Linked DNA regions of Nothobranchius furzeri. The protein of the gene in region 4 purifies or fractionates together with the protein of the main gene of each other region. This does not show direct contact. Links are inferred from orthologs where the notes say so. Each region holds a gene or a part of one and is shown on either strand. Other genes may lie near its edges.

The links.
Region 1: the proteins of sirt1 (region 4) and dnmt1 purify together in Homo sapiens (affinity purification with western blotting; 3 studies listed by BioGRID and IntAct, with this or other methods). This does not show direct contact. The link is inferred for Nothobranchius furzeri from reciprocal best matches to the Homo sapiens genes SIRT1 and DNMT1.
Region 2: the proteins of sirt1 (region 4) and ect2 purify together in Homo sapiens (affinity purification with mass spectrometry; 3 studies listed by BioGRID). This does not show direct contact. The link is inferred for Nothobranchius furzeri from reciprocal best matches to the Homo sapiens genes SIRT1 and ECT2.
Region 3: the proteins of sirt1 (region 4) and histone acetyltransferase KAT5 purify together in Homo sapiens (affinity purification with western blotting; 3 studies listed by BioGRID). This does not show direct contact. The link is inferred for Nothobranchius furzeri from reciprocal best matches to the Homo sapiens genes SIRT1 and KAT5.
Region 5: the proteins of sirt1 (region 4) and brinp1 purify together in Homo sapiens (affinity purification with western blotting; 6 studies listed by BioGRID and IntAct, with this or other methods). This does not show direct contact. The link is inferred for Nothobranchius furzeri from reciprocal best matches to the Homo sapiens genes SIRT1 and BRINP1.
Region 6: the proteins of sirt1 (region 4) and recql4 purify together in Homo sapiens (affinity purification with mass spectrometry; 3 studies listed by BioGRID). This does not show direct contact. The link is inferred for Nothobranchius furzeri from reciprocal best matches to the Homo sapiens genes SIRT1 and RECQL4.
Region 7: the proteins of sirt1 (region 4) and topbp1 purify together in Homo sapiens (affinity purification with western blotting; 3 studies listed by BioGRID, with this or other methods). This does not show direct contact. The link is inferred for Nothobranchius furzeri from reciprocal best matches to the Homo sapiens genes SIRT1 and TOPBP1.

The regions. Positions count from the first base shown.
Region 1 is NC_091745.1:3,328,734-3,333,171, reverse strand, and holds the start of dnmt1 (DNA (cytosine-5)-methyltransferase 1), read left to right. Parts: upstream 1-1,583; 5' UTR 1,584-1,761; coding exon 1,762-1,808; intron 1,809-2,177; coding exon 2,178-2,214; intron 2,215-2,668; coding exon 2,669-2,776; intron 2,777-2,871; coding exon 2,872-3,124; intron 3,125-3,215; coding exon 3,216-3,288; intron 3,289-3,364; coding exon 3,365-3,446; intron 3,447-3,527; coding exon 3,528-3,568; intron 3,569-3,639; coding exon 3,640-3,694; intron 3,695-3,781; coding exon 3,782-3,865; intron 3,866-3,937; coding exon 3,938-4,047; intron 4,048-4,438. UniProt on the Homo sapiens protein: Methylates CpG residues. Preferentially methylates hemimethylated DNA. Associates with DNA replication sites in S phase maintaining the methylation pattern in the newly synthesized strand, that is essential for epigenetic inheritance.
Region 2 is NC_091756.1:57,533,438-57,537,444, reverse strand, and holds part of ect2 (protein ECT2), read left to right. Parts: intron 1-2,614; coding exon 2,615-2,739; intron 2,740-3,702; coding exon 3,703-3,822; intron 3,823-4,007. UniProt on the Homo sapiens protein: Guanine nucleotide exchange factor (GEF) that catalyzes the exchange of GDP for GTP. Promotes guanine nucleotide exchange on the Rho family members of small GTPases, like RHOA, RHOC, RAC1 and CDC42.
Region 3 is NC_091750.1:47,314,424-47,319,227, reverse strand, and holds the start of histone acetyltransferase KAT5, read left to right. Parts: upstream 1-1,651; 5' UTR 1,652-1,720; coding exon 1,721-1,750; intron 1,751-1,830; coding exon 1,831-1,897; intron 1,898-4,726; coding exon 4,727-4,795; intron 4,796-4,804. UniProt on the Homo sapiens protein: Catalytic subunit of the NuA4 histone acetyltransferase complex, a multiprotein complex involved in transcriptional activation of select genes principally by acetylation of nucleosomal histones H2A and H4.
Region 4 is NC_091752.1:5,646,048-5,649,342, reverse strand, and holds the end of sirt1 (NAD-dependent protein deacetylase sirtuin-1), read left to right. Parts: intron 1-77; coding exon 78-157; intron 158-1,208; coding exon 1,209-1,392; intron 1,393-1,491; coding exon 1,492-2,004; intron 2,005-2,169; coding exon 2,170-2,462; 3' UTR 2,463-2,471; downstream 2,472-3,295. UniProt on the Homo sapiens protein: NAD-dependent protein deacetylase that links transcriptional regulation directly to intracellular energetics and participates in the coordination of several separated cellular functions such as cell cycle, response to DNA damage, metabolism, apoptosis and autophagy.
Region 5 is NC_091746.1:56,499,252-56,503,258, reverse strand, and holds part of brinp1 (BMP/retinoic acid-inducible neural-specific protein 1), read left to right. Parts: intron 1-2,451; coding exon 2,452-2,674; intron 2,675-4,007. UniProt on the Homo sapiens protein: Plays a role in neurogenesis and brain development. May suppress cell cycle progression in postmitotic neurons by inhibiting G1/S transition.
Region 6 is NC_091759.1:4,679,050-4,683,848, reverse strand, and holds the start of recql4 (ATP-dependent DNA helicase Q4), read right to left. Parts: upstream 3,286-4,799; 5' UTR 3,081-3,285; coding exon 2,997-3,080; intron 2,916-2,996; coding exon 2,882-2,915; intron 2,807-2,881; coding exon 2,706-2,806; intron 2,584-2,705; coding exon 2,437-2,583; intron 2,298-2,436; coding exon 2,140-2,297; intron 1,685-2,139; coding exon 883-1,684; intron 809-882; coding exon 726-808; intron 649-725; coding exon 549-648; intron 481-548; coding exon 315-480; intron 119-314; coding exon 2-118; intron 1-1. UniProt on the Homo sapiens protein: An ATP-dependent DNA helicase which unwinds dsDNA with a 3'-overhang in a 3'-5' direction. Does not unwind more than 18 bp of dsDNA. May modulate chromosome segregation. The N-terminal domain (residues 1-54) binds DNA Y-shaped DNA better than ss- or dsDNA.
Region 7 is NC_091747.1:45,084,485-45,088,491, forward strand, and holds the end of topbp1 (DNA topoisomerase 2-binding protein 1), read left to right. Parts: coding exon 1-106; intron 107-247; coding exon 248-411; intron 412-495; coding exon 496-624; intron 625-700; coding exon 701-790; intron 791-1,032; coding exon 1,033-1,194; intron 1,195-3,542; coding exon 3,543-3,671; 3' UTR 3,672-3,733; downstream 3,734-4,007. UniProt on the Homo sapiens protein: Scaffold protein that acts as a key protein-protein adapter in DNA replication and DNA repair. Composed of multiple BRCT domains, which specifically recognize and bind phosphorylated proteins, bringing proteins together into functional combinations.

The DNA.
Region 1 (4,438 bases), on a different chromosome or scaffold from region 4:
GGGGGGGGGGGGATTTTTTTTTCTCACTCTTCTGTTTAAGTGTATTAAAAGCCTAAAATTCTGTATAATTAATGAGCATCAGACCCACGTGACCACAGAGCTAGCTCCGTGGAAAGGCCTCAGTAGAGCCTCGGTCTGGCTTGGAAACTGCTCCGGGATTTTGAGTCTCTGTGTTTGTGTATTTTTTTTCGGATATTTTTTGTGCAATTGTTGGACAAAATGACTTGCTGTGGCATTAATTGCACTAATAGAGCATCCAAGGAGTCTCCACTTCATTTTTTTCGGTAAGTAAAATTATATTCATGTATTTTAGGTCACTGCCGAGCTGAGCTTAGATTTTAACATGTACTGTTTAACCATGAAATTTAAATGTAATAGGGTAAACCCCAGTGCATTTAACATAATGCTGGACTTTAGAAAATGGGTTGAAATATAACATGTTGGTGGAGCTGGGTTCCGACTATCGGCTTGTGGAGCTCTCGGGAGACCTGTTTTCCACCCGGTTCTCCCCTCCCCGCAGCTCGGCGCATCTCTGTCTGATCGCGGCTCCTGACTGCTATGCGGGCTGCCGGCTTGTGGAGCTCTGGGATGGAAACCTTTCCACCCGGTTCTCCCCAGTGGCAGCTCTGTGCATCTCAGATCGCAGCAGCGCTTGTCTGCTGTGCGGCTGCCGGCTTGTGGAGCTCTCGGGAGACCTCTGTGTTCCACCCGGTTTTACCCAGCGGTCAGCCCGGCGTATCTCTGACTCAGAAGCTCTGGTGTTGTGCACAGTTAACTCCGGTTGTAGCTAGGTTGCTACCTCTGTTAGCTTAGCTCCCACCTCCGCGTTAGCTTTGGGTTAACTTGTAGCTAGTTAGACCGGGTGTCGTCAGTAGATCCCAGCCTTACAGCCCCACCCTCAGCGCCACCTCTCTTCCCTTTTGTGGAATTGTCTGGGCTTGACGGAACCTGTGACACAGTCAAAATGGTGGTGGTGGCCACCTCCCATTTATCTTCAAAAACGTGTTATTGGAGCATATGGAAACCCAATGTCCAATATTTATATGTCGATGGAAATAGCCAATCGTAGTAGAGCCCTTCTTGCTAATCAGAGGCGAGAAAGGAGCCATCTTCTTTGACATCCTATGATATCACATGACACGCCCTGGACACATACATGTTTGACAGCTATCCTAGTAACAATCTAATATATAAATTACAGTTAGAGGCTTATTGGTTTCAAACAGATGTCGGATACAGCTAGTTACATCAAAACGGTGTCATGCCTCCTGCAGCTTAAACTCAGCGGCAATAATATGTCTTGCTGTTTTTGCTCATTATTAAACACTTCCGCCTGGTCAATGGACTCTAACATGTGTGAAACAATAGGGGAAGATCCGGTTGATTTATCAAGAACCAAAAAACGTAAACATTTTGAATAATATCAAACTAATGCCCTAAACATGCTTAAAAATCGTTTTATTGTTATAAAATGTGTTTTTGTGTAAAACCATGAATGCAAAGAAGAAATTACAAACGCAGAACGGAAACTGCTTTACCTATAGACTGCCGTAGTGGTACAGTCCACAACACCCGGGTTTCCGCGCGAAAAGACGGCCTGCGCGCGCTCGAACTGCTTGTAGCATCCGCTTGAAGAAGCGCCACTCGACTGGTAGTCATCTCTGAGTATTGCTGCGGCGATTGACGGCGGCCTAACGCGTTGTTTTATATCAGTTTTTATTGCCCGTGTCATCTGCTTCTGCTTTTAGTTAGCTGGTCAACATGCCATCCAGAACGTCCCTGTCTCTGCCAGACGATGTCAGGAAAAGGTTGGTAACCTCGGTGCTAATACAGTCATAATGCAGCCAGTTAGTAAGTCACAACAACGGCGTTCAGAGCGTATGTCTTAAATGCTACTCGTTGTTTCTCATGCTCGTAGTGAGCATCCCCACAACTTTGTTTGCATTAGCCGCTTCAGCTAGCGTTAGCTTGCTGCCTCTTATCAGTCTGGTTAATAGTCCATCGTCAGTAACCTGCTACTAGCATCATTAGCCTGGAAATGGATGAGCAGCGAGGGAGTTTTTGGCGCCACGTAGGAAGTTTTGTTTCCTAACTCTGGTTGCTGTGCTGAACGTTCTGCTACAGTTTCCAGACAACGTGACTCTCCGTAAGCCGCTGTTGTTTTGATGTGTTTGTAGGTTGGAGCTGCTGGATGAGGATGGATGCTCAGAAGAGGCGAGTGAAGTGTGCACCCTCACTACTAGAAAACCCGATCAATAATTACGGGAAATGAAAGTTGCTTTGTATGTGTAAAGATCAATAACTACACTTTATATAGTGGCTCTTAAAGAATGCATCTCTCGTTGGTTTTATTTTAGTTGTGAGATATGAAATGTGTTTGATAGCAAATATAAATAGCAGAGCTTCCAAAAATGTTCATCACTCCCCAAAATGTCATTTGGCACGCATAAAATTCTCATTTCAAATATGACAAAAACGAATCCCTAGGAAATTTTGCCATTGACAAAGAAGATTAAGAAAGTTACTGTCTCACATTTTAATTCACCGACATGTCCTAAATGGTTAATTTTTAATGTCATGAATGCAGATAGTTTCAAAAAATTGTAACTTATAATTTTATAGTTAAATACATTGGCTGTAAGTTTTATGTTGGAAATATTCGTTTCAGGAACAAGTGAAGAAGAAGATCAAGTTGGTGCAGGACTTTCTGCATGATGATGCTCAGGACCAACTGACCAGTCTTGAAGAAAAAATAAAAAAATCAGAGATCTCAAAGGTGGGTAACTTCCAAAAGACACAGATTATTAATGTTCATGTTATTTCCAATAAATCCATTTATGACATGTTGTGTATCTGTTGTACTTTCCTCAGGAGGTTTACATCTCAAAGGTGAAAGCCTTGCTGGGCAAAGAACTTCATCTTGAGAATGGCTCACATGTTGATGGCGTGGAGCGTAACGAAAAGAGAAATGGCCTCTCTAATGGCTCCCATAAAGACGAAGAGGATGGAGATGGTGATGTTTCCATGGATACCCAGGAAGAAGACACGTCATCATCTGTCAAGTCACCAACCACCTCCAAAGGGAAGGGGGGCCGCAGGAGCAAGGGGAGCGCAGACACAAAAAGTCAGTCTGCGACTCGTTTAGTGTTCATCCCGAGTCTCGTTTTTAAAGGCGCAGCATCTGTAGCTCATGGCGAGTCCTTTTGCATTTGTAGAATCACCAGCCAGCAGCAGAGTCACGAGGAACAGTGTGAAGCAGCCAACCATCTTGTCCATGTTTTCTAAAGTGTACGTATGAGTTTTATGCTGTTTGCAGTTTTAACAAATAAGCAGGAATAAAATTAAGACCAGCTCTGTTTTGCAGCCAAAAGCGCAAGTCTGATGAGGTGAACGGAGAACCTGTCAATGAAACAAGTGAACCTAAAAAAGAAGAGGCCGTTGATGAGGTGACATTTCCTCCTCGTGTGCTAATATCGGTGTAGGTTTAGTCCCGGAGATAACGTTTTACATTTGATCGCCTGTTGCAGTCTCGGGAGGAGAAACGCCTGAAAGTGGAGTCGGATGAAAAGTAGGTCATCTCTTGAGTTTCGATGGTCCTGAAGTGGATCTACGTTTTACAACTCTTCCTTTTTTACGCAGACCTGCTGCTGAGGAACCAAAGCCTGAAGTTAACAGGTCTGCGTCAGCAGCTAAGGTAGTGAAGTGGTTCATTCAAACGTTTACGCAGACAAAGGTGATCCGTCAATAGGCTTTGATACAAAGCCCGGTTGTTTTTTTTTAGACTCCGCCCCCCAAATGTCCAGACTGCAGACAATACCTGGATGACTCCGATCTGAAATTCTTCCAAGGAGATCCTGATAATGCGGTCAGTCTTGCTTTCTTAGTAATTTAAGCACTGAGAAGTCGTCGTCTTGACCGGTTTTTTCTGTATCTTCAGCTGGAAGAGCCTGAAATGTTGACGGATGAGCGTTTGTCCCTGTTTGACGCAAACGAGGATGGGTTTGAAAGCTACGATGATCTGCCGCAGCACAAGATCACAAGTTTCAGGTGAGCTTCTCTGTGGGGATTCAGGTGGCTCTTCTTGTTGCTTCTGGTGCCACCGTTACCCCCAAATTCCACTACCTCCGCTCCGACACGAACGCCGCAGCAAAATCGGTCCCGTTGTAGTCAATCAGAGCAATTCCACTACTGCGGCTGTGCTCCTGCAGTGCGGCGCCGTGCGCCGCCCTCTGTTCTGGCGTCCGGCAAAAATAGAATCGATCCTATTTTCGCCGGACGCCGGAGCACCTCCGCAGTAAATGGACAGAAATCACAATCGTCCAACAGGAAAAGGAGCAAGCACACTTTCCGTTTTTCACAATAAATCGATAAACAAAAAGCGTTTCTTGTTTCAAATGCACAGGTTTAACAACTTTTAACAACTATCAGTGGCGGCTGA
Region 2 (4,007 bases), on a different chromosome or scaffold from region 4:
CCCGGTTATGAGCATATCCGGGTTTTTGGCGGTGTTTACATGGACCTGCGGAACCGGGTTATTGTGAATATTCGGGTTTTAAAAGGGTTACTGGCTGCATGTAAACGCACTCATCGTAAACAAACATTTAAAGAGCAAGTCACCCCTTACAAGAAGCGTACTTCACTCCCACTTCATGTTTGAATAATGCAACAAATGCTGTTGCCTAGCAGACCGAGAGGGTGGAGCCACTAACAAATACACACACTCATGACATTGTGACATCATAATGTACCAGTTTACATCATAGCATACCCCTTAGCCAATAGCGGTGGCAGATTTAAATTCAAATGCAGTGAAGAGTTTTTACCTGACAACGGCACAACACTGCCAGTTTTAGGCAGAAATTTTTAATTTTAGCTAAAATGCACTAAAGTGCTAAACTATTGACTACACGTGTCTGCAGCACGATTAGACACGCATTTATATAGTTTATCAGAAAAAAATAGTTGATTTGGGGGTGACTTGCTCTTTAACTCCTACACCTGTCGATGCTTCACTAAACAGTCGTCTCTACATGACTAAAGTTTAATGTCACCTTTCAGTAATAGTACCCACACTAGCGTGTCTTGTCACAAATGTAATGTCATTTCCTACATGTAGAGATCCCTTTAGCATTATAAATCACACATTGCTGTTACCTCTGAATTCAGAAGTAGGATTTTCAAGCCTACTATGTCAGGAAATGGCAACAACAAGGTTTCCCAAGGTTGGATAAACTCGTTAAACCAAGTTTAGCTCACAATCTAACCTACCCAGGAAACAAAACCGGCTTACTCTTAGTAGATTTAATTATAAAGTCCTTCATGCATTCCAGGTTCAGTGTTCTGTTGCTAACAGAGTGCAGCATTCCTCATTCTCTTTAGCTTAGATTTTGGGTTGCCCTACTCTTGCCACTCGTCATACAAACATGTATACCGTTGTATCGTTCAAAATGTTGCCAGTTACCCTGAAAGTAAGATGAACCAATAAGATTAAAGCCGACCAGAAAAAGGCGGAATTAAAGGGAGAGTCCGCTTCTAGAAGGATGAACTTGTAATGCTAGAAGCAACACAGCAGACATGTTTCTCAGGTGTTGGATTTGAAGAATGATAAAAGACTAAGAATAACAGTGGAAGCTATCGTAGACCCTTTTACTGTTTGTAAACAATATGACGTCAGCGAGAATGCGCGCGCAGCTCGGCAACAGAGAATGGCGTTGTGTCAGGCTTTATCAAGCTACGCTGCGGGGTTATCACCGGCAAATCTTGAATGTTATATTATTAAACTCACTTTAACGAATGGCAACAGACTCCCGGATCCCTGTGGCATTACGGAATGGGTGGAAGACGTAGGTGCGTGGCCCGATATACATACGTTTCTAGTGGAGAGGCCCAGTAAGTACACATGTGAGAAGCTACAGGCATACAAATCGTTAGATGCATACAAATATGTTGTCTGTGGCCACATACAGAAAGTAAAATATCACGACATAGACTCTGAGTTTTGCGTCTTGAAGGCAGAAGTCCTTCCTAGCCAAAGACAAGGACACAAGACTGCTATATACGAGGCTTGGGTCAGAGTAAACAAACCAGAGAACTGTGTACCTGCATGGCAGGGTGAGTATAGCATAGGTTTCTTTTTTTAGTGTGCTCAGAGTACAATCGTGTTAATTTTTAGAGAAATACAGTTTATACTAATATGCAGTGGGAAAATACAGATGAATTAGAATGAAATGTTAATTTCATTTGCAAACCAGCAAACGGAACTTACTTTAATTAATAGAACACACGTTAACCAGCTTTCTGGTGTAATCTTAGTACATAATTACCTTACCTGATATAAAATGGGCGCTACAAACTCGAGCATTTCGGATCGTGTTTTCAGTCGAGTTTTCATCAACCCTTTTGATGGCCTGCAGCCACAGACGCCTCCGATTTTGTTGAAATGGATGTGCTCCCTTCGGAATTCTGTAAAGTTTCAGTCCACTGCTTGAAGAGAAGCGATTCTGGCATCCATACACGCAACAACCCGACATTTTTATGTGCTCAGAACTTCAAAACAAAGGGTTTAAAACACTGTTTTAGTATCGAGTGTGAATGAGGAAGCCTTCACTCTCGTTGCCAGGCTGCGCGCGCAACTTTTGATGACGTAGGTAGTAAAAGGGTCTATAACTCGTTAGTCGTATGTTTTGAGAACATTGAATAGCCAAGATCTGACTTTTGTTTTATCTTAGTGGGCTTCCTCCTTTGAAACCAGAGTACTTGTCATGTTTGTAAAAACAAGGACAAATGATGATGCGAGGGTAATAAAGAATTGCTGAAACTGGAACATTAAAGCTAAATCTCCATTGGCTGGCCAGTTTCAAAGGTGGATATGGGTTGGTATAAATCTGTGAAACTTCAGTGTGATCCAGTGGAAACACTGACGGCTTCATGTAAATGCATTTAAAACAAGGTGTGCGTTTTTTTTTCTTCCTCGGCATCATCTTTAACAGAGTAATGTTTGTGTTGCATCTTGAATAAAACACGTGATAGGTTGACCCGACATCCCGCTGCTCTCCTTTACTTCATCTACAAACTTTGTCTTCCTTCAGAGAGTTCCAAGCCATCCAAGAGCTCAACTCCGGCTCTGTCCAAGCAGTCGGCCAGGTGGCAGGTCTCCAAGGAGCTCTACCAGACTGAAAGCAACTATGTAGACATTTTAAACACCATTCTACAGGTAGGCGTGGGTGTGCATGCGCTCACTGCATGCACTGCTCTAACACCTCAGCGTGTTGCCCCTGACAACAGTTTTCAGTTAGCCAGCGATCAACTAAAGGTGTGTGTGTGTGTGTGCATGCGTGTGTGTGTGTGTGTGTATGCGTGTGTGTTTGTGAGTGTGCATGAGTGTGTATATGTGTGTGTGCGTGCGTGTGTGTTTGTGAGTGTGCATGAGTGTGTGTGTGTGCATGCGTGTGTGTTTGTGAGTGTGCATGAGTGCATGTGTGTTTGTGAGTGTGTGTATGTGTGTGCGTGTGTGTGTGAGTGAGTGTGCATGTGTGAGTGTGCATGTGTGTGTGTGAGTGCATGTGTGTGTGAGTGTGCATGTGTGTGTGCGTGTGTGTGTGAGTGAGTGCATGTGTGTGTGAGTGTGCATGTGTGTTTGTGAGTGTGCATGTGTGTTTGTGAGTGTGTGTGAGTGTGCATGTGTGTTTGTGAGTGTGTGTGAGTGTGCATGTGTGTTTGTGAGTGTGTGTGAGTGTGCATGTGTGTGTGTGAGTGAGTGTACATGTGTGAGTGTGCATGTGTGTGTGTGAGTGCATGTGTGTGTGAGTGTGCATGTGTGTTTGTGAGTGTGTGTGAGTGTGCATGTGTGTGTGTGAGTGAGTGTGAGTGTGCATGTGTGTGTGTGAGTGTGTGTATTTGCTGTAACTTGACTCAGCCGTCAGCTGGAGTCAGACAGTCCAGCGGCGAAGCAACCAGGCTGGTTATTTTTTGACCTTCCTGTCAAATTTCTTTGTTTTTTGTGTCTTCTCTTGAATTTTTATCTCTATACTTTTACTGAAGTGAAGAAAAATCTGTTGAAACTGGGTTAGGGTTTTACGTTTCAAGTCTTTATAAAAAAAAATGAAGCTGATGGTGACGATAAATGTCCGTTTCATCAGTGGATTACTTCAGAAGTCACGGTGCATTTTATTTCCAGCTTTTCAAGCATCCACTGGAGAAAGAAGGCCAAGTAGGAGGACCCATCTTGGCTCAGGAGGAAATGAAAACCATTTTTGGCAGCATTCCAGAAATCTACGAAGTTCACACCAGAATAAAGGTAGTGTTTTAAATGAGGGTAATAGTGATGGGAACTCTGGCTCTTTCATCAGAACTGGCTCCTCACAGTTTTTGTTCCTTAAATGAATTTATCACCTGAGATTATACAAAATGGTGTAAACTGAATTACTTATTTACAATTTTCATTATAGCAAATGTTTGTTATTTAAATGACAATTTTAGTCA
Region 3 (4,804 bases), on a different chromosome or scaffold from region 4:
ACTGGTAACTCAAATAAAATACAAAATCAACACATGCATTCATAAACATCAGAAGACTGATTGTCATCCTAGACAGAACAAAGAAAACAAATAAACATTACCAGAAGTCCATGCACCTGAGGTGACAGACACTGCCATCACATCCTCTAATGTTTGTTTTTCAGTTGAAGTCTTAATGGAAGTGTTTGTTAAGCTGCTAAAGTAAAAAACTGTGATTGAGAGCTGCTTCCTTGAACTTTCATATTTATCTAATTTAGGCACTTTTTAAATTGTGCACAAAGTGTTGATTGGATTTTTAAAGAAAAACATTCAGCCAAGAAAAATATCATCTCTGGAACAATAATTTTTTTTAAATATAAAAACCCTCATTGTGTTTGTGACATCATTATTTACGCATCCAAAGCTGTACCCTGGAGTGGAGGAGCAGAATAAATTATAATTTATGAATAAATCTTCTTTTAAAATAGAAAGACAAGCTGCCTTCAGCAGTGCTGTGTCTAATTATTTTAAATTTGACATTAATGAGGCACCAGCGTCTAAATCTACCAGAGATCTAACGAGATGACAACTTCAGGTGCAATTTTATTGTTAATTTTAACATTTTACTGGACACATGAATTTAATCAGATGCTTCTTAACAGCTCATTAAGGAGGGTAAACATGGGGGTTGTGTTCTCCAACATTTCAGTGATGTACTATTAAATTAGGAAGATTTTCTATTGCACATGTTTAGAAACTGATTAAAATCTGATCAAAATTTAAGTTTAGTTTGAATGGTTTGTCATACTTTTTTTTACAGCAGGAAACAATATGGATGTAAACTTGTGATATAGTAAAATCCATTTTGCTCCATAAGCATGTTACTTTGTAAAATTCCCTCTTTCCTAAAAGAAAACAAAACACATTATGAGTCGGCAAAGCTCTCAGCAATTACAGGAAAAACTAATAATCTCACCTCTATAATAATGTGATTAACTGCAGCATTTTTGCTCCCAACAATGGAAGACTGCTGCTCTCGTGTGGCAGATTGGTGCAAAAATACACTTGCTTCATAATGCAGTACAAACCTTTTTAACTTCACACACACACACACACACACACACACACACACACACACACACACACACACACACACACACACACACACACACACACACACACACACACAGGAAGTTGACTTACCATGTCACTTTAATTTACAAATTAACTAATTTGATCACGCAATCCAAATGTTGTTGTAATGGCTTGGGTCCGCCAGAGGGCGGAAAAATCTTTACTCTAGACAGGATCGAGTTCTCGTGTTCCGTGAAACTGACCTAAATAAAACATATAAATGCCTTATAGACTGAGTTGGTTTTCATCAATTAAATCAAACGACTAAATAAATTTTTTTTAAAGTTCACATAGATAAAAAAGTCAAATAGAACAGCATTTCTATTTTGTTACTGGTTTAGTTGTATATAGTTTTTATTGTAATTATTTGAGTGGTGTATACATTCTTTGTGAAATTCAAATACATAAATTCTCTTCCTGTTTAAAACATAATGTGTTATTACTATTAATAACTCAAGTAGTGAAGCCATTCTGTTTGCGTTGTTTGCCTCATTTAAGATAGCTCACTAACTTCCGGTGACAGGGCACAAACAACTATCTTGACGTATGTTTTCATCTTTGGCGTGGACCGGCATTTTCCCACAACACCCTGCTGCTGCACTCACAGATGACGAAAATGGTGGACAGCTCGTCTTCGGTAGGTTCTCCAGAGAAACTATGCTACTTTTTAGACATTGACCATTATTTGGTTGTAAAATAACGTTTCATCAACAACAGGTCGAAATTGTCGAAGGCTGTCGCCTACCGGTTCTTCGTAAAAACCAAGAACACGAGGACGAATGGCGTAAGTGTTGTCCGTTTGTTTCCCTGGTGCTAAGCTAATGCTAACTATCGAAGCTCAGCTGGCTGTTAGCAGACACCTCGTCTTCCAGGTAGACAAAAAAACTAAAGTGTTACTAAGATTGAGAAGGTGTGCTAATGTAGAACGCTTTTGAAGCCACTCTTTATTTTTGAGGCTTAACTGTTGAATCCTGTCTGCAGAAGCGTAATCAAATATCTTTATTAAATGTCAACAAACATTCATGTTAATCTTTATTGATTTAGAATATGAACGTTCATTTCTCGCGCAGGAATAAAAACCAACTTCAAATCGTAAGACAAAATGAAGACACTAATAATACAAATGAAATAATTAAGATTTAAAATTAAAATACCAAGTTCAACACACTAAACACTGTTATATCCAGTGTTGGGGAAAGTTACTTTTAAAAAGTAATTAGTAATAGTTACTAATTACTTTGTCAAAAAAGTAACTCACTTACTAACTGAGTTACGAGATTATAAAAGTAACTAATTACCAAGAAAAATAACTACTTATTTACTTTTTTCATTAAAGAATGCAAGAAAATGGGTTAATTGAACTTATTTACTATTAATTACTACAATAGTGAAATATAAATGACTAGTGACTGGAACATAATAAAACGTATGTCAAAATGTTTTTTGTAAACCTGAATAATTTAAATAAATAAGCACTTAACAGGAGGAACAGGAGCATTACACTTATCTAAACTATTAAAACGTCACTGTGTGATATTTAACAAGACCCCAATCAGCTAAAATTTAAAATTGCAAATAGAAACACCTGTAAAGGTTCCCGAGCCTTTAAATGGTCTCTCAGTCTAGTTAAATGACAGAAATGAATGTAAATTACAGTATTTTAACTTTTCCAACTTCACATAATTGTGTGTTATTAGTAGCATTTCTGTTGCTGGTAATCTAGTAATGGTTAAATAAATAAATAAAAATCCTTTAAAATGACAGTAGAAGAGGCACAAATCTGATGGAGGACTTACATTTACTAACGTGGGTCAGACCCAAACACAGAAGAGCTGAAGCTGGGTGGTTCTAATAACACCTGAGCTCCATGACGTTTGAGACTGATGCATCAGTGTTACAGCGGGACTAAAGACATGATCAGAAACAGGCTACAGCTGGATGATCTAGGAAGGTAGAAGATCAGGACGTCTGAGTGGTGAACAGGTGAGCGGACCTTCAGGACGTCCCGCTGTCACGTTAAAGGGCACGGCTGCAGACCCACACCTGCAGCCGTAGACTATTCATCACGTCTTCCTCGTTCTTCACGGGCCGTGATGCACTTGGATGAAAACATCTGCCTCTTTAGCTCCTGATCAGCTGATGACAGCTTCAACACACTGCGCTGCTTAACGCACACATTTCTTATACGTAACAGAAACGACATTTTGATAAAAGAAGATGGTAATTAATTAGGTTGCTCGTTACTGAAAGAAATATTTTTTTTAGTAACGCGGTTATTTTAACCGGCGTTATTCCCATCACTGCTCTGTTGAGTCTACAGCATGCAGTGACTGAGACAGTGAGGGTCTCCGCCCACCCGGCCAATCATCATCGGGTTTGTAAGTGCGTTACTGACACCTCTCTCTCCCTGGCTGCAGCTGAAGTGTGGCGGTCAGAAAGCCTCACACTGTTGCTCAACGTTCGACAAGCACATAGTAACGCACAACCTTCCATCCCCAGTAACGGTAACGGTGTTGCAACAGTGGGAAAAGTAATTAATTAGATTATTCCGTTACCCAAAAAAAGAACGCCGTTATTTTAAACGGCGTTATTCCCATCACTGTTATAGCTGCATAGAAATGCATGGAAGGGCTCTGATAAACTACAGTGTAATTAAACCTGTAGTTTAAACTAGAGGTCGACCGATATTGGTTTGATTGCCGATATGTAAAAGGTCAGCTGATGTCCGATTTGTGCAGCCGATATTTTTATGTCCGATATCTAAATATTTTCACCTTATTTTCATGCTAAAACGTCAGATAACATCAGTTGATGCACAAAATTTCTGAATCAGTTTTTTAACCAACTGTTAAATCCTAATTTTGAACACAGCTCAGTGTTAATATCAGACATTTAAATAAAAGGTAATCAAACAAATCCGTTAAGTGACGTGTCAATTATTTGATATTCAAAACTGGTAAATAAAAATAATTTTGAGTTGGAAATCATTTTTAAAGCAGTGATTAATTTGAAATACTATATTAAAATATTCTAATAAATAGCGTACTTACCCATTTTTAATAACTAGTGTCTCTCAAAACACGACGGCAAGTCTGATCTCGTAAAAACGAAAGTCATTTTCTGCTTCCTGTTCTCAAGTTCGGCCTGATGTGACTATCGCACGACTTTCCGAGAAGTGCTCAGCGGCGCATCATGTTTGACCACTTGACTTCTCAAAACCGCAATGCTTCTGCCGATTTATAAAGAACGCCAAATATTTGCCTTGTATATCGGTCTACCCCTAGTTTAAGCTGTTATTGGTTTAAAACCTAGTTTGACATCTGTAAAGAGCGCTTCAGGGTTTAAAATGTTACTTATTTTAAGGTTTGCAACAAAAAGAATGCTAAAGTTCTGAATTCTCTTGCACAAATAAATCAAAAGTACTTCAAGTAGGTTAAACAAACATTTTTTACGTTGATAAAGGACAACATTTTGTCACTGTTGATGCACCAAAGCCATAAATATCCATAGAGATGGTTTGTGAATAGAATTATAACATAAATTCTTGTCCTACTTGAGTTTTCTGATAGTTTTAGGAAATAAATCCAACATTTATTTTTATTATTATTTACAGCGTTGGCTGAGATTCTCAGTGTGAAGGAGGTTTCTGGGAGAAAGCTGTACTATGTTCACTACATTGACTGTGAGTACC
Region 4 (3,295 bases):
TTGCATTTTGTTGTACATCTACGCCGCTGCCATAGCGCTAAATAATCATGTGTGTGTGTGTGTGTGTTTTATTTCAGGGTCCTTCGCAACTGCGTCCTGTCTTGTTTGTAAACAAAAAGTGGATTGTGAAGCTATAAGGGAAGATGTCTTTAATCAGGTACATTTTAAACTGGACCAACAGAACGTTGATCGCTGCTGCTGTTTTTTTACACCTGTAACCATAATGAGAAACTAAAATGTCTTTGGAGGGGTTCGGGTTGGTGAGGACGTTGGTTGATAAATGTCAAGTCATAACGTATACATGTAACTAATTTCACAGTATACTCTCCTAACCCCGGCTTTCCACGGGAGCCGTCAGCAGCACGTCATAGCTGCTGATAGGAACCGCTGTGGTCAACAGAACCTTTTCCACCGGAGCCGTCAGCAGCGCGAGTCGGCCGCGTCTCAGGAGCAGCATGTCGCGGCCCTTACGCGCCGGTTCTATTTTCTACGCGCGACGCCTCTGAAACGGGTCAAGTTCGACATTTTTGGGGAAGGAAAGACAGGAAATGGGACGCGGAAATGGAGAGAAGCTCCCGAGATTCTCAGAATAAAGAACGTACTGCCTTCCAGTTGCTTTACTTTTAAAAAATGTTACTAACTGTGCGTCCCCGTGAGAAGTTATCACCTAGCTAGCGGTCTCCTTTGTTTTTCAGGTCCGTATTGGCGATTATAAAAGGACAGAACATAAACCATGTTATAGTTTTCTCCTGCTTGTTGGTGTGTTTACTGACGAAGTCACTCGTGTGACTTCGTGCTCTGTCGGTGACAGCTGCTCCCCTGCTGCTTCGCGTCTCGTGGGAAGGGCCAAGCAGCAGCTTGCGCGAGCGAGACGTGCTGCTGCAGTAACGTGCTGCTGACGGCTCCCGTGGAAACCCGGGGTTAGCGTTGTTTCCATTGTCGGGTTTGGCTTTTCCAAGCTTTGTTGTTAGAATATTTTGAAATCTTCAGACTGGTTTTATGTGATGTTCAAAGAAACTTTGGATAAATTAACTTTCACAACATCCGCCTAACGAGTCCGTGCGAAAGACTGATGTAAAAAGGGTGTTTGGTGTTGGGACTAATTCAGGGTTCATACTAGAATCTACTTCAGGAAGTGTATCGGTTTAAATAAATGACAGAGCGTGCTTCTGCGACATGTTCCTCTCTAATGCAACGTCGTCCTGCAGGTTGTTCCTCGTTGTCTGAGGTGTCCGGATATTCCTCTGGCAATCATGAAACCTGACATCGTCTTTTTTGGAGAGAACCTACCAGAAATGTTCCACAGAGCCATGAAGCAGGACAAAGATGAGGTGGACCTCTTGATTGTAATTGGCTCTTCGCTCAAAGTCCGACCAGTGGCCCTCATACCGAGTATGATTTCAAGTGAACGTGCTTCTAGATACTTGCCACTCCTCTGTTGTGTTTGAGGTAAACTCCACCAATAACACCATGGCTTTCCATTTCTCTCAGATTCCATTCCTCACGAAGTGCCTCAGGTTCTGATCAACAGGGAGCCGCTGCCTCATCTGAACTTTGACGTGGAGCTACTCGGAGACTGTGACGGTATCATCAATGAGCTCTGTCACCGGTTGAGTGGAGACTTTGAGCAGCTCTGCTTTAACACTTTAAGACTCAACGAGATCACAGAGAAGCCCCCTCGGTTACAAGAACCACGACCAAGTGAGGCCTTGCCTGCTTTCAGTGATGCGGCTCAGCAGCAGAACGAGCCGTCGCGTACGGACTCTGTAAACAAGCCTTCAGAGGAGGCAGAAAGTCTGACTGTTACAGAAACTGCCGATAAGAACATTACACCTTTGGAGCCTTGTTCGAATGTGCAGTGTCCAAGTGAGGACGGTGCGAAGTCTCCGGAGTTACCAAAAGTGGAGATGGGTGATTTTAAAAGCCAAAACTCCAGCTTTGATTATCGTAAACGGTACTGGGTGAGCAGAATCAGCAGGAGTCCAATAAGCAAACGCCTCAACCGTAAGCTAAGCTAAGCTAATTTATACCAGTTACATGTCATTTGTTCAAATGTGTTCCGTCTTTCCTCTGCATGTATTCCTTCACGTGATCACACCACAACTATTTCAGCAGACGTGTCAAAGACAAACGAGCCGTGTTTCATAGATGCTCTGTTGTTTTCCACAGCGGGCCAGTACTTGTTTCAGTCACCTAACCGCTACCTCTTCCACGGCGCCGAAGTCTACTCGGACTCCGAAGAGGAGACGTCGAGCTCCTGCGGTAGCGACAGTGATGAGTCAGAATGCAGTCCTGGTGGGGTGGAGGATGACAGCGACCCAGAGGACGTCAGTGAAGCGGCGGCGGCGGACGGAGAAACACGCATCAAAGACATGTTTCGAAATTCAGCCAATGAGGAAGAGTCAAGTGTGCAGATCGACAGTTCTTCTGAAAAAGCTCACAGTGCCACGAATCAAGCGTAATAAGACTCCATTTTACAAAGCACTAATTCTTTTTTAGAGTGTACATATAAATAGGTTTCATATATATTTTTGAGTCATCTACTTCCTGTTTATCATAAAGTTGAAGTGTGTGTTTGCAGCAAGACTTTTGTCTTTCAGGTTTGCTCTGTTTTCACACTCACTGTGCTTAAACCCACTAGTTACTTTTCTACTTTAGTTCCCTTTGCTGTTGCAGCCATTGTTGCGTACCAGAAATGCAACATTAAACACCCTGAAACACCGGCGTGGCGTCGGCTGTTTTGGACTTGGTCGCTTAGGAATCATTACATTTTAAAATCTGAAGATTGAAGAGGTTAACGAGTCTGAGACAGATTTTATTTTTGCGCATGCAAATTTAGTTCTACTCCTTGAGTGAAAAACTGCAGAAAGATGGTTTTATTTCAGACCAAAGAGCTCAACATCTGCATACTTCTGTTTCTGGAAAAAGCTTTTTTTTTTATTCGTCTTAAGTTTTTAAATGTACTTTGTGATCCTCCTGACATCAGGCAGCTACTTTCCTGGTGAAGCCTCATATTTTATATTTGGGTGTGAGACATGCTTGTCAAAGGGTATATGCTTGTTTATATTTGTACAAAGTCGTACTTGAGACGAATATGGAGACCGGCTTTGGTTATGTTTATTTGTAAGGTTGAAATACATATTCACGTTGAAAATAGCACTTTTTCTTCTCCATACGAAGCTTGTTGTGTTGCTTGTGTCTTATTTTTTAAGATAATTAGCTCAGTGCCTATACTGTTGATCGTATGTTAACATTCTAGTTGTGTTGGAAATGTGTATGGAAACGTGCCATTTGC
Region 5 (4,007 bases), on a different chromosome or scaffold from region 4:
CAGCGTTGGCGATGGCCTGGATTTTCCAGGAGAAAGGGAGTCGAAAGAGGCATCTGACATGTCTGAAAGCTGGGTGGAGGTTTATGGCAAGTTCAAAACAGGGGAGGAGAAGGATTCTGGCATCTTTGAAGAAAAAGGGCAGAAGGAGCTCTGACATGCCTGGGAGGAGGGAGGAGGGGTTTCTGACATTTCTCAGCCGCGTCTGAAAAAAAGAGCTCTTAACTCAGGTTAATACAGTTAAAATGTCTCAGCCAGAAGAGTACCGGTGTGCATATCTTGAATCCTGTCTTTGTCAGTGAGAATATTTATGTTCTGCATCTCACTATGGCATTTTATCTAGGCAAAAGCATGTTCATACGTTTGCTTGTGTGATTACAGTAAAATGTTTTAAATTAGACAGAACGCCAAGCTGCCTTTTTAAAGGCTTCAATCATTTAAAAGTGTCACGATCTGCCCCTGCCTTCCTGACTGTGTTCCTCTCCTGCCTGATTAGCCCTTATTGTTCTCACCTGCCCCTCGTTAACCTGCCCATGTGTTCCTGATTTCCCTGTGTATTTATACCTCCCTTCTTGTGCCAGTCTGTGTCAGATCATTGTTGTTTGTCGTGTTGTTCTCGTTGTTCCTGTCATTAAACCCATTTTTACTTTATCCGTGCCTGCATTCCTGCCTCCTGGTCAGCTCCACCACACTTGGTCCATCATCTCCACCATCAGAACGTGACAAAAAGGACTATATCATGCACGCTTTGAAGCTTTCAACCATGTTATATTTGGATTTCCTCATCAAACACACACAGAACAATATTTGTCTTAAAAGAATAATGTATAAGTCAGAACAAACGACGTTTCCATTGTGCTAATGGTAATATTTTAATCATAAATGGGCCTATCCTCGTAGCCTGGTCTGCCAGACTCTTCCTCTGTTTAATTCTACACAGATAAAGGGTCTGGGAACTCTCCTATTCACATAACCCCACCCCCTGAGAATTCTAACCGAGCTAATCAGCGCTGAGCAGCATATGTCACACACCATAACGCCGAGTTTGTCATAAACATGGCGACTGAAGCGGAGTTCGCAGCGGCTCTTTCCTCTGTTCTAAATGACTTGGACACATATTTAAAACAACAAGTAGAAGCGCTAAAAGTCTTTCTTCTAAAGAAAGATGTTTGCGCTGTCACCAGATGCCATTTTTTGACTACAGCTAAAAAACAACAGCGTCGCGGCCGTCACACACAGCGATGCTCAGTTTCTCATAAACAACGAAGACAGCGGCGGAGTTCGCTGCGGCTCTTTCCTCTGCTCTAAATGACTTGAATGTCTTTAAAACCACAACAAGTAGAAGCTTTAAAAGCATTTCTTCTAAAAGAATAAAAGATGTTTGCACCATTGCCAGACGCCTTTTTTTTACTACAGCTAAAAAAACTACAGTGTCGCGCGGTACTGTCGGCATTTCCGTCTTTTTTTCTGATTGGTTATTTTTGAGCTGCCTAGTCCCGCCCCTCAAGTGCCTCTTTTCCTGTGAATTACCAGACTCATTCTCTGTGCAGAATTAAATAGAGGACAAGTCTCTGGCAGGCCAGGCTACTATTTTCCCTCTGAAAGGTTTAAACTGTCTAACATGATGGAGTTCCTTTAAACCTCAAATCTGGCAATAATTAAAAGGGATTGAAGGACATTTTGTTTCATTTTAATATGTATGTAGCTTGTCAGGACTTTATTTTCGAATTAGCATAATCATAATTATATTTTTAATTAATTAATTAATTATCGTAATCATAATCATAATCATTATTTTAATTTTTTATTTTATTTTAAGTATTCGTTATTTAACCAGAAAAATAAAATAACTTCCTGTCCAAGAGGCAGAAAAAGGTACAGTTACAAAATTACTCAGTTACACTGTAAAAGTTATATTCAAAATTATTGGAACTGTAGACACACACACAGACACACACACACATAAAAGCGTGTAGTAGTCAGGGACCAACAGACAAAAAACAGACCAGTTGGGCTTCCGTCTTGGAGGAAAGATATGTTTATAATAACAACAACAAAAACAACTATTATTATTATTATTATTTAAAGATGAAAAATGCTTATTTTCTTAGAAAATGAAAGTAGTATTCACAAAATGCAAAAGAAAGAAAAATTTCACTTTGGCTGAAGACAAAGAGGCTGAGGTTGCAATCTTTAAAGTCCAAAGGAGAGGATGCTTACTGTGTGTCTTTATTTTACGCAGATCCAACCTCAAAATAACCAAACCAACAACACCAAGGAACACATTAAATTAGTTTTTTAAAGAAAAAAATAACTAAATGTTTGCAGTTTTATGTCATGTTTCTTTTGAATCACAACAGTTCCACTGCATCTTATTTGCATGTTTAGAGTGTAACGGACCAGTTGTGTTTCTTTTCCTCCATTCTCTCCCTCTCTGCTCTCATTCATCTATAGATGAGTTCAAGTCTTTCCTGAAGAGGCTCCCTTCCACTCATTTCCTGCCCATCAGCAGTGTGCATCTTCTGTGGGGCAGTGACTGGGACCTGCAGGCCCGTTACAGACTCCTCCAGAGCTCCCTCGAGATCCAGCGGCTCAAGATCCAGCATACCACCCGCAAGCTCTTTAGCCTCAGCATCCGCTGTCACCACAATCCCAGCCACCAGATGCCTCGGGAGAGGTGGGTAGAAATATGACCTTGATGTGGATTCGCTCAGCGATGTGAACCAGAGATTTAGAGTTCATGCTTATTGAGATGTGAATATAATACAGAGTATGTTCAGGAAATAAAAACTTATAGAATTATTTGTGTTTTCTCTTGTTATGAATAGGTCATGTATAATAAATCTGTAGCTTATGGCTGTATTTTTACTTTACATCAAGTCAGCTTAGTGCTGAGGCTTGCACATGCCCAAAACACCATAGCTCACTCTTGTACTTCACTTAGGAGACTGAAAAGAAAATGTTGCTGTGGGAGTTTTCTTGTTAGGTCATTGCACACATCTGTCACCACCTACCACAGCTGCAGCTTGAGAGCCTTGCCGCTGATGTGCCATAGTGTCAGCAGTACAGCAAATGCCAAGAATGTCTCCAAACCACTTCAGCAAATCAGAAAACACCATGCCAGATAGGGCAAATCACCGGCTGCCCGTGAGAAGCGCCTCTCTAACTACTCAATGTAGGTGGCGTCTTTGTGTAAATGGGAACAGCATCAGTTAAATATTAACTGGAGTGGTCTGAAAATGAGCCATTGTCAACTGTCCCTGACAGAAAACGGAGCACACCCACATTTGTCTGAGCGAGTTGGCACGGGTTCGTTCTGAAGTGTTATCAAAGAGCTGCAGAATGCGCTTCCTCTTCCATGGAGTAAACATCAAGAGTGCCTGATGGCAGAGGAAATAAGAGCAGCGTGTTTATTTGTTTGCTGGTGTGAAACAGCTTTGCATCAGATGGAGGACTTATTTGTTTTCATCACATATTTTAGGAAGGTCTTACATTTAATACGGAGCTGTTGTTGTGCGGGGCGTCGTTTCCCTGGTCTCTCCACCTCCTTTAGTCCTTTCCGTTGTTCCTTTCGGATCAAATTTATTTCTGCTTTTCTAGCTTTACTCAGAGTAATAACTGGTACAAAATGTGTGGGGAAGATTTACTTCAATGGCTCATGTGTGAATCCAGCATTGGAATTCAGTCTGATATGACATTAAACACCCCCCCCCAACAGGGAGCTGAAAGCACATATAGTATTTCCATGATGTGAGACAATTGTTTACAGAGGCTTCTTCCTTTAAGAACATCCTTAGTGAGGTAGAAAATGTAATGTTCTTTTAGAAAATCTCTGCAAATTTTGAAAACCAACTTTACTGGAATTTGACTCATTCAAAAAAGTTCAGGATGGATTTTAGCTTTGCTAATTTTTTCACCTGTTACTCGTCAGTCTTCACTCCGCTGCAACCATTTCTCATAGCTAACTGTCATATCCTCAGCTCCTGTTGTTATATATATATATATATATA
Region 6 (4,799 bases), on a different chromosome or scaffold from region 4:
CCCAGTGGCTGAGGTTGTAGTGTTCCCGTCGCCCTGGCAACCTCCTCCAGGGTTGGTAGTTCAAATGATTCTTCTTCTTCTTCTTCGGATTTATCCTCCAAAACAGGAAGTTGTGGAGCTAAAAACAAAACAAGAGGACTGAGATCAAACAACATAGGTCTTGTTACTGATCTTGTGCACACGCTGTTATCCATCCAACATGAACAATTATCTCATAAATCAGCTGGTTTTCTAGTAATGTCGGTGTTGCACCAAGACCGTTTGCTGTAAATAAAACCGGTAAGTCTGTGGGAGTGCTGCTGATGCGGCGTCACCTCGTCCCCGGCACTCGACGGCCCAGTGCCCGGTTCCTCCACACCTGTAGCAGGTGTCGCCCTGCCGACTGAGCCCCCCTCTGAAGGAGCCCCTCCGTCCTCCACCAAAACGGCCCCCGCCTCCACCGAAACGCTCGCCCTTCAACTGGAATTTCTGCACGTACAACTGTGAGAAGAGCACACCAGTCAAAGGTAACGCTCTTGAACGTTTGGGCGAGTCTGGTGGAACCGCACCTGTTTGCGTAAAGCCATCCCTCGGAGAGCGTATCCTTTCACGTGAGATTTCTTCTTCAGATTGATCTTCACAAAATTACCTTCTGCGCCTTTCCTTATTCTGTGGAAACCGCAACAATAAGATAATAGAACAAAGCCAAAGTAGGTGTGTTTATTTGGGGCCGCCCGTGTTCCTACCTGGCCTTCACCGGCTGTGCTTGACACGACCCGGAAGTCCTGAACTCGTCCTCTAACTCTCCAAACAAGTTCTCCTGAGGAACCTGATCAGATATCACAGATTTTATTTAATGAAAATTATTTATTAACGTACAAAAATGCTGATTTTTTCCCTCACCTTTGGTTTTATCTCCGTCTCCTCCGCTCCATCTTCATGTTTTTTCTTGGTTCGCCTTCTTTTCTCTCCTCCTCCATCACCTGATTTAGAGTTTTCTTCTTCTTTCTTACGTCTCTTTTTCACTCCTCCATCTTCAGGTGTGTTTTCTCCAGTGTCGCCACCCTCTCTCTGCCTCTTTCTTCCCCTTTTCTTTGTACTTTTAGGACTATTCTCACCGTCATTTCCTGGTGTAACGAACACCTCTTCACTTTCTTTCTCTCTTTTTTCTTCTCCTTCCCATCTTCCATTCACATTCTTAAGATTTTTCTCCTTTCTGAAATCTACTGATCCCTTTCTTTCACCCTCCACGTATTTTTCCTCTTTTGTCACGCTTTCACCTTCTGATTCTGGTACTTTTCTTTCATTTGTCTCCGCTTTAGTATCCTGGTTGCCTCCTCCAGGTTTCTCCTCAGCTTCCATCTCTCCGAACACCTGACACCTTTCCAGCCACTTCCTGTCAACGAAGCTCAGCCTGTTAGGAAGGGAAGGCCGTCTCACCAAACCACCAACCAAAGGTCGGCTACATTCGACACCAACCGAGTCCGGTGGAGCTTCTCCGTCTTTTGCACTTTCATTTAACGTTCCAGTGGCTTCGGCGCGCCGCTGAGGAGACAAAGATGATAAGAGGAGAGAAGATCTGGCTGGAGAGGAGCTGTGGTTTGTATCATCAGCAGGTTTAGCTTTAAATGGTTCTAACTGCTCCTCAGGCTCTGCTGAATCCGGAGCTTCACGAGACGTTGAATCCAGACATGGCTTCATTCCTCTGGAACAAAAACACACAAAACTCATTAAATAACCAAGTTTCTGAAAAATACTTAAAAATTTTCCGTTCTTGGTTCTCGTTTGATCCATAAATATGAAACAAAACCAGAGGATTTAGATCCAAAGTGTGGTATGAGGGCCACTTGAGGCCCTCATAGTGTTTTTGTGTGGCCCCTAGCAGGCTGACGATGTAGCCAGATGATTTCTAGGCCTGTTGTTGAGCTGTGTAAATACAAAATTCATTATAAAAATAACTTTAGAGTTAAAAATATATATATTAAAAATACTTGACAATTTCTGCCCTTCTCTTGAAGGGTTTGGACACCCTAATCTAGATTATACATCACAACAAAACACGTTTAAGTTATATTACAGCATTTTAATCAAAAGGACACATTTATCAGTCAACTAGGTTGATATTATGTGCGTAACATGACAGCTTGTGTCTTTAATTACCTTGGAGAGAAGAGGCTGAGGTCTCGATCAGCTGTTTCAGGTTTTCCTGCATCAGTGGAGGACCTGGGACTGTTCTCCTGTAAGCTCTGGTCATCTTTCAAAGAATTTAGAGGAACTCGACCGGTCCGGTGTACTTTCTTCAATGACAAAGGTCTCTCCTTTAGTCAAAAAATAAATAAATAAGTGCACTGGAAACACATGATGGATAATCCTGTTTGTTTAAAGGTTGAGATGACAGATTTCTTCTGTTTTATAGCAATAATTGAGCTCAGATCAGTTTTTTTAAGTGATCCTTACCTTACTGAGTGCAGCAAGGTTGTTTTTAAGCTTTAGTCCATAATACTGAGGGGACGCCATAAGACTATCTTTGTCCTGGGAAGTCAGCCTGGGAGCAGACACCGGCATTGCTTTGCGGTTCAGATGGGCACCCCAACAATCAGACTCCTAAAACAGAAAATATGCTAATTATTTAGAATTAGTAAATAACAGAAGGTGATTTGTGAAGAATAGAGTGTTAAGAAATAGAATAAATAAATTACAGTAAACAAAGAAGTTGTGATCAGAACCTTGGGTGTTGTGTTGCTCTCTGGAGTCTGACTGCTGGATGCATCCCTGCTGCTGCTGTTCTCTTTGGCTTGTTTTAAACTGCGGTACTCCTTATATAGCTCTACAAAAACACGCGTATTATTAGTGCGGTAAGACATGTAACAGCTGATCAGTGCTGATTATAGTTAGGACTGACTTTTTGTCTGTTCTGGAGCTTGATCAATGTCCTCCTGCAAACGAGAAACCTTCATTTAGCTTTTCTGAAAAGGTAAATAATCCAGCAATAAGCAAACGGGACATCTAGAAATCACCTTGTTGGGCTTCCTCTGGTGCAGTTTGACAAAACTTTGCTCCCAGTTTTTCAGCAGAAGTTTCACCTCATTGTAGCGATCCATGTTGATCCATTCAGTCGGTTTAAGGATCCGGACTCCACTTCTTTTTGTCAAGCTAACGGCTAAAAACAGGTTTCTTTTTGGAAATAAGCGCAGTCTGACTGTGTGTTTTACATCGTAATGCGCTTAGTTAGCGTTTAATACCTCTAAAAAATGTATTTTACACTTAGAAAGGCGAAGAACATCATGTTTTTAAAACCTTTATGACGCTTTGAATCAACCCGGAAATGCTAAATGTTGATTTTCGCGCGTCCGTGTGTTGCCAGTTTTCATCACCGCATCCCCCAATCTGTATATCACTTGCGTAGAAGTTAAATGTTTTCAATTCAACTGTGTATATTACTATGTATATCTGTACCTGAATTTTTTTCAAGATATACTTTGTGTTTAGTAAATTCAAGAATGATAATAAAATATATAGATATGTAAAAATCACTATAAAATTTAAAATTTTCGCTGTATGAAAATCTCAAAAGAGAAACGCTCTTCCAGGTAAAAATTAAAGGGACAGAAATAGTTTTCAAACTAATCACATAATAAAACATAAATTATTTGACATAAGCGTGTAATAAACTATAAAACAAAACTAAAAATATATACGTTTTTGTTGAATTTTAAAGAGATGCAACTTTGCAACAGAAATTTAAGGTACTTTCTTGGCTGTTTCTGGCATCAGCCCACTCTTGAATCAGTTCTTTTGCAGTAATGTGTTTCAACCTTTAATGTGCATCTTCTGGTTTTAATTACCTTTAATGGAGACATATCATGGATTTATTTTTTAAGTTTTATGTGTTATAAAAAACATATTTATGAAATCTTTGCTCAAAATCTCTCTCACATTAAGCAATGTCAGCAGTTTTATTCTTGACATTTTCAACATCTTCCACAATGAGCCATTTCAAGGCTCTGTCGCTTAGGCCCTAGGCCTTTTTTTTTTGGGCCCTGGTGCCTCCCAATTGGGGGCCTTTGGAGTTTCGTGTCCCAAGTGTCAGTGATTGTTTCCATTCCCCGAGCACAGCTACAGCTACAATCAAAACGGTTTAGATTGTGAAAAAAAGCTATTTTTGGTTTTTGATACATTACGATAAAATAATACTTGAACTTTATTTTAGAAGAGCTGCCCTGCGTGAAAGTGCTGACAGGATGGAGGTTGAGAGTTCAAATTCCATTTAGGAAATTTAGTCAATTGTTTTATTTATTCCAGGGGTCCTCAACTAAATTTGTTTAAGGGTTTTTTTCCAGCAGGCACCAGAGAAGGTCAGATGCTCTTCTAAAATAAAGTTCAAATATCATTGTATCTTAATTTATTACTATTTAAAATGGCCTTGTTTCCCATCTGAGCCGTTTGTGGTTTTAGTTGTGTTTGGACAATGTGGACAGTTGTAGATGTTTGGGAAATTAAACTGTAGAGGCCCCCCAATTGGGGGGTGTTAGCTGGTTAAGAAAACAAGCTGAAGCTGGCTACGCCCAGCCACTCCCTGCTCAGGCTGCTGTAAGCCGAGAAGCTCCGATATCTTGGAAGGGCTCAGAGTATAGCCGCTGTGAATCAACAGCTGTCTCCCAACACACAACATTTTTGAACTTGTCCATGCATTGTTTTCTGAGCCGTTTGTCATTTCTTATCGTTTCAAATAAACATCACAGAAGAGAATAACACTTTACAGATAAAAATCTGTGAGATACTATGAGAAGATCAAAGAGGGATTTCATCAGCAAACATCT
Region 7 (4,007 bases), on a different chromosome or scaffold from region 4:
GAGCATCAGGACGAGACAAGAGAAGAAAAGCAGCCTCCCAGATTCCAGCTGTCCTCCCTCAGTCCTCAGGAGCGCATCGATTACAGCCAGCTGATAGAGGAGCTGGGTGAGTCCCTCAGAGCTCCAACCTGGTCACAGAAACCAAAAGCAGGAGATGGAATATGATTTTTATTTTAGCTTGGTCTAGTTCGTGTCTCCTGACCAGGTCCAGTGTGTCTTAGTCTCTCTGTTCTTTGTCCTACTTTAGGTGGTGTTGTCCTGGACAAGCAGTCCTTCGACCCCAGCTGCTCCCACATCATCGTAGGGACTCCGCTGCGCAACGAGAAGTATCTTGCAGCGATGGCTGCCGGTAAATGGATCCTGCATCGTTCCTACCTGGAAGTCTGTCGCTCCCTGGGACACTTTGTCCAGGTGAGAGTCCGCCTCAGTCCTTCACCAGTAAAACTTATGCTAAGCACAGCACTCACTCTCCTTTGGTCTCCTGCTGTGGGGCAGGAGGAGGAGTATGAATGGGGCAGCAGCTCCATCCTGGAGGCTTTACCCTCCATCACCTCTCAGCAAAGGAGGCTGGCCTCGTCGGCCATGCGCTGGAGAAAAGCTCTGCAGGGAAGCTCTGAACAGAAGGTACATCCAGACCGGTTCGCTGTGTCCTCGCGGTGCTAGACACGGTGTCTCACCTGGAGAAAAATGTGTTTTCCAGGGAGCTTTCAGCGGCTGGAGCGTGATGCTGAACATCGACCAGAGTAGAGAGTCCGGATTCAGGAGGTTACTGCAGTCAGGCGGGGCCAAGGTCGGTCATGGCGTTTACATCCCAGACACAGAAGATGCTGCTTATTGGAGGCAGCACTGATTTAATAACACTCTTATTCTTTCAGCAGTATTAAAAATGTTTAAGTAATAAGCCACAAAACAACTAATTACATTTTTACAGTAAAGAAAATCATTAATATGAACATCCTGAACTGGGAACCTCTGTTTCTTTATGTTTCCGGACCTCTGGGCTCAGTTTTTTGACGTGGAGTTTCTCTGCAGGTGCTGCCAAGTCCCTCCTCATCTCTATACAAAGAGGCCACTCACCTGTTTGCAGACTTCAGTCGTCTGAAACCTGCAGATTTCAGGGTGGACGTAGCAGAGGCGACGGCTCAAGGGGTGACATGCTTGAAACCAGAGTACATCGCAGATTACCTGATGCAGGTCCGCTCCGCTCCCCAGTTCGGGTCACGTGTAGTTACTGTTACAAGTTTTTGCAAAGAAACTTCTAATTCTTGCTGTGGTTTTAGTACACGTACAAATTATACATCAACATGTAGGTGTTTGTCTCATCGCTGCAGGATCTATGGTTTTCTCTCACATCCCTTCAGAGAGCACACACCCTTATTTCCACGGACTTTGTTCATATTGTAACTCAAAATTTCTTTCTAAACAAAAGGTGAAGGGTTGATTCAATGCATCACGTCTCCTACAGAAAACAAAAAATAGACGTGACCATCAGCGCCTTGGAAGTTCAGGAATTATTCCAATTCAACGTTACGTTTTCCTGCGGAGATCGCTTGAGGCTGACTTGGCCAGATATGTAAGCATTGCGTAATGTAATTAGCTGCCATTTAAATAGATGGGTGCTGTCTACTTTTTAATAATAATAATAATAATACACACGCTTTCATACACTCACATTCACACACTGCTAGTGTAGCCACAGCCGCCCTGGGGAGGTCTGACAGAGGCGAGGCTGCCATTTGGCGCCGTCGGCCCCTCTGACCACCACCAACACAGGCAAGTTGGGTGAAGTGTCTTGCCCAAGGACACAACAGCAGAATACCCCTGGCGGGAGCTGGAATCAGACCCATGACCTATGATCATGAGGCAACCCGCTGTACCACCTGAGCTACTGCTGCCCTAACTTTACGCATTAAGCATCCAGAAAAGCCGCCAAGCTACGCAGTTCAGACCGGACAGGAAGTCGAACATGAAAGCCTTGCAAAACATTAGGACAAGTAAAAATGAAGCAAAGTCACATGCAGCTTTCCAGTTTCCTGTGAAACCTCCGTAGCTGAGGTAAACGGAGCCAACAGAAAATAAACAACAGATCTTCGATACGCGATGCAGTCTCCGTGCAAAGTAAGGCTGCACAATATACTGCAAATATATCGTTATCGCGATATCAGCATGCGCAATATGCATATTGCAAAGAACAGATGAGTATTGCAATGAATGGTCAGCTCACATATTTGCTACACATAATAAATTATGTCAATCAAACGAAAGCATGATGTTTTTTTAACAAATCAAATGGAGCTCTTCACCCATTGGGCCAATTGGGTGGGTTCTCATAGGTTAGATGCCCGCCCCCGAGGCGGACGGCACTTAATTTTGATGGTTAGCAAACTCCTGAGTTAGCTTTGTTCTGCTCTTCCTGCTGATTCTGCTTTTCCCGGGATCCACTGATCGCCTTTTCTTGTTATTTTCTTTTCCTCACATCTTTTGCTTTTCTCATTTTTATGAATTTTTTGTCTTTTTTTTTATTTCTTTGTTTTTGATTATTTTTGTTCCTGAGTTAAGTTTTTATTTATCGCAAGTAATATCGCCATCGCAATATTAATCACTGTTATCGCATATGGCAGGTTTTCCTAATATCGTGCAGCCCTAGTGCAAAGGCAGCTCAGTGGCCTAGTGGTACGAGAGTCTGCCCTGACCCTGTCTTTGGTACGAGTCTGCATACCAAAGACTTATACCTTCCCATATGACACTCGGCATCAAGGGTTGGATTGGGGGATAGTTCCCGAGCATGGCCGTGTCTGCAGCTCACCGCTCCCCACATAGATGGGTCAATGCAGAGACAACTAATGGGGCTTTAACTTTTAACTTTACCACAAAATCGTGTGTTGCGTTGCAATTCTCTGTTGGATTCGTGACCTCGTGGGACCAGCTGAGCTGAACGCTTTTGCTACTGTTTCAGGTCTTAAACGCTCCCCTCCATGGGGATGGAGCTCACTCTAATTTCCCTCTGGGATTAATAAAGTATCTTTGAATTGAATTGAAATGCGTCTGTTACGTTACGCACCGCTTACGTATCCAGTGGAAAGCGGGGGTTACTTTTTTGTTCCTGTCTGCCTCTTGTTAAATTGTCCACTTGGGAGCAAACGCCACAGGAGTGTGGTTTCCATGGTTACCCTAATGAATCAGTGGCAGCAACATTAATATTTTTACTTGGGGTTAGGTCAGAATTTCTCCAGAAATATTCTAGTTTCTTAATTAATAAACAGTAAATCAACCAAATGTGAGCAAATGTGCTGACTGCTCAGCAACTATAGAAAACATTTTGAGATTAGCATCAGTAGTTGAGATTATCTGAGCACAAATTATGTCTAAAGTGTATTTATTTAATTCAGAACAAGGGAAGGTCAGAATAACCACATTTTGAAGCTTACTTCCCAGGCAAAAGCTTAGTTATTGTTACAATTCATGGGATTTAAATTTCTTAATCACTTTTACATAAATGTAAAGAAACTTGTTTTATTTGTTTTTATTGTTTCCCCTTTAAGGAGCCGACTCCACCTCTTGAGCTGTACCTCCTGAGTGCACCTCCCTCTGAAGAAGCATCATCTACTCCGTCATGTAAACGCAAAGCATCATCCGACACCTCCAGGCTGAAAAAGAGCCGTGTGAACTGAAACACGTCGACTGTAAAAAGAAATTGTTATTGTCTTGTATAAAATAAAAAACATTCAGCATCTGTTTTTGTCATTTTAGATTAAAGTACTGCATCTGCTGCTGACAGAGACCAGTGGTGATGTGGGGCTGGAAAATGATGAGTCATGGTTTGTAACAGGCTGCAGGGTGGTTTTATGGCCTGTAGGGGGAAGACAAGCATAAATTATCTAACAGGGTGTAAACATCTTTTTTAAGTGTTATTTAAAAAGTTTTGGCTGTGTAAGTTTCAAAATAAAGAAGACAAGTGCATCATAAATAGAATTCATCCCCCTTTAACATTTTCAAAATAAAATCCT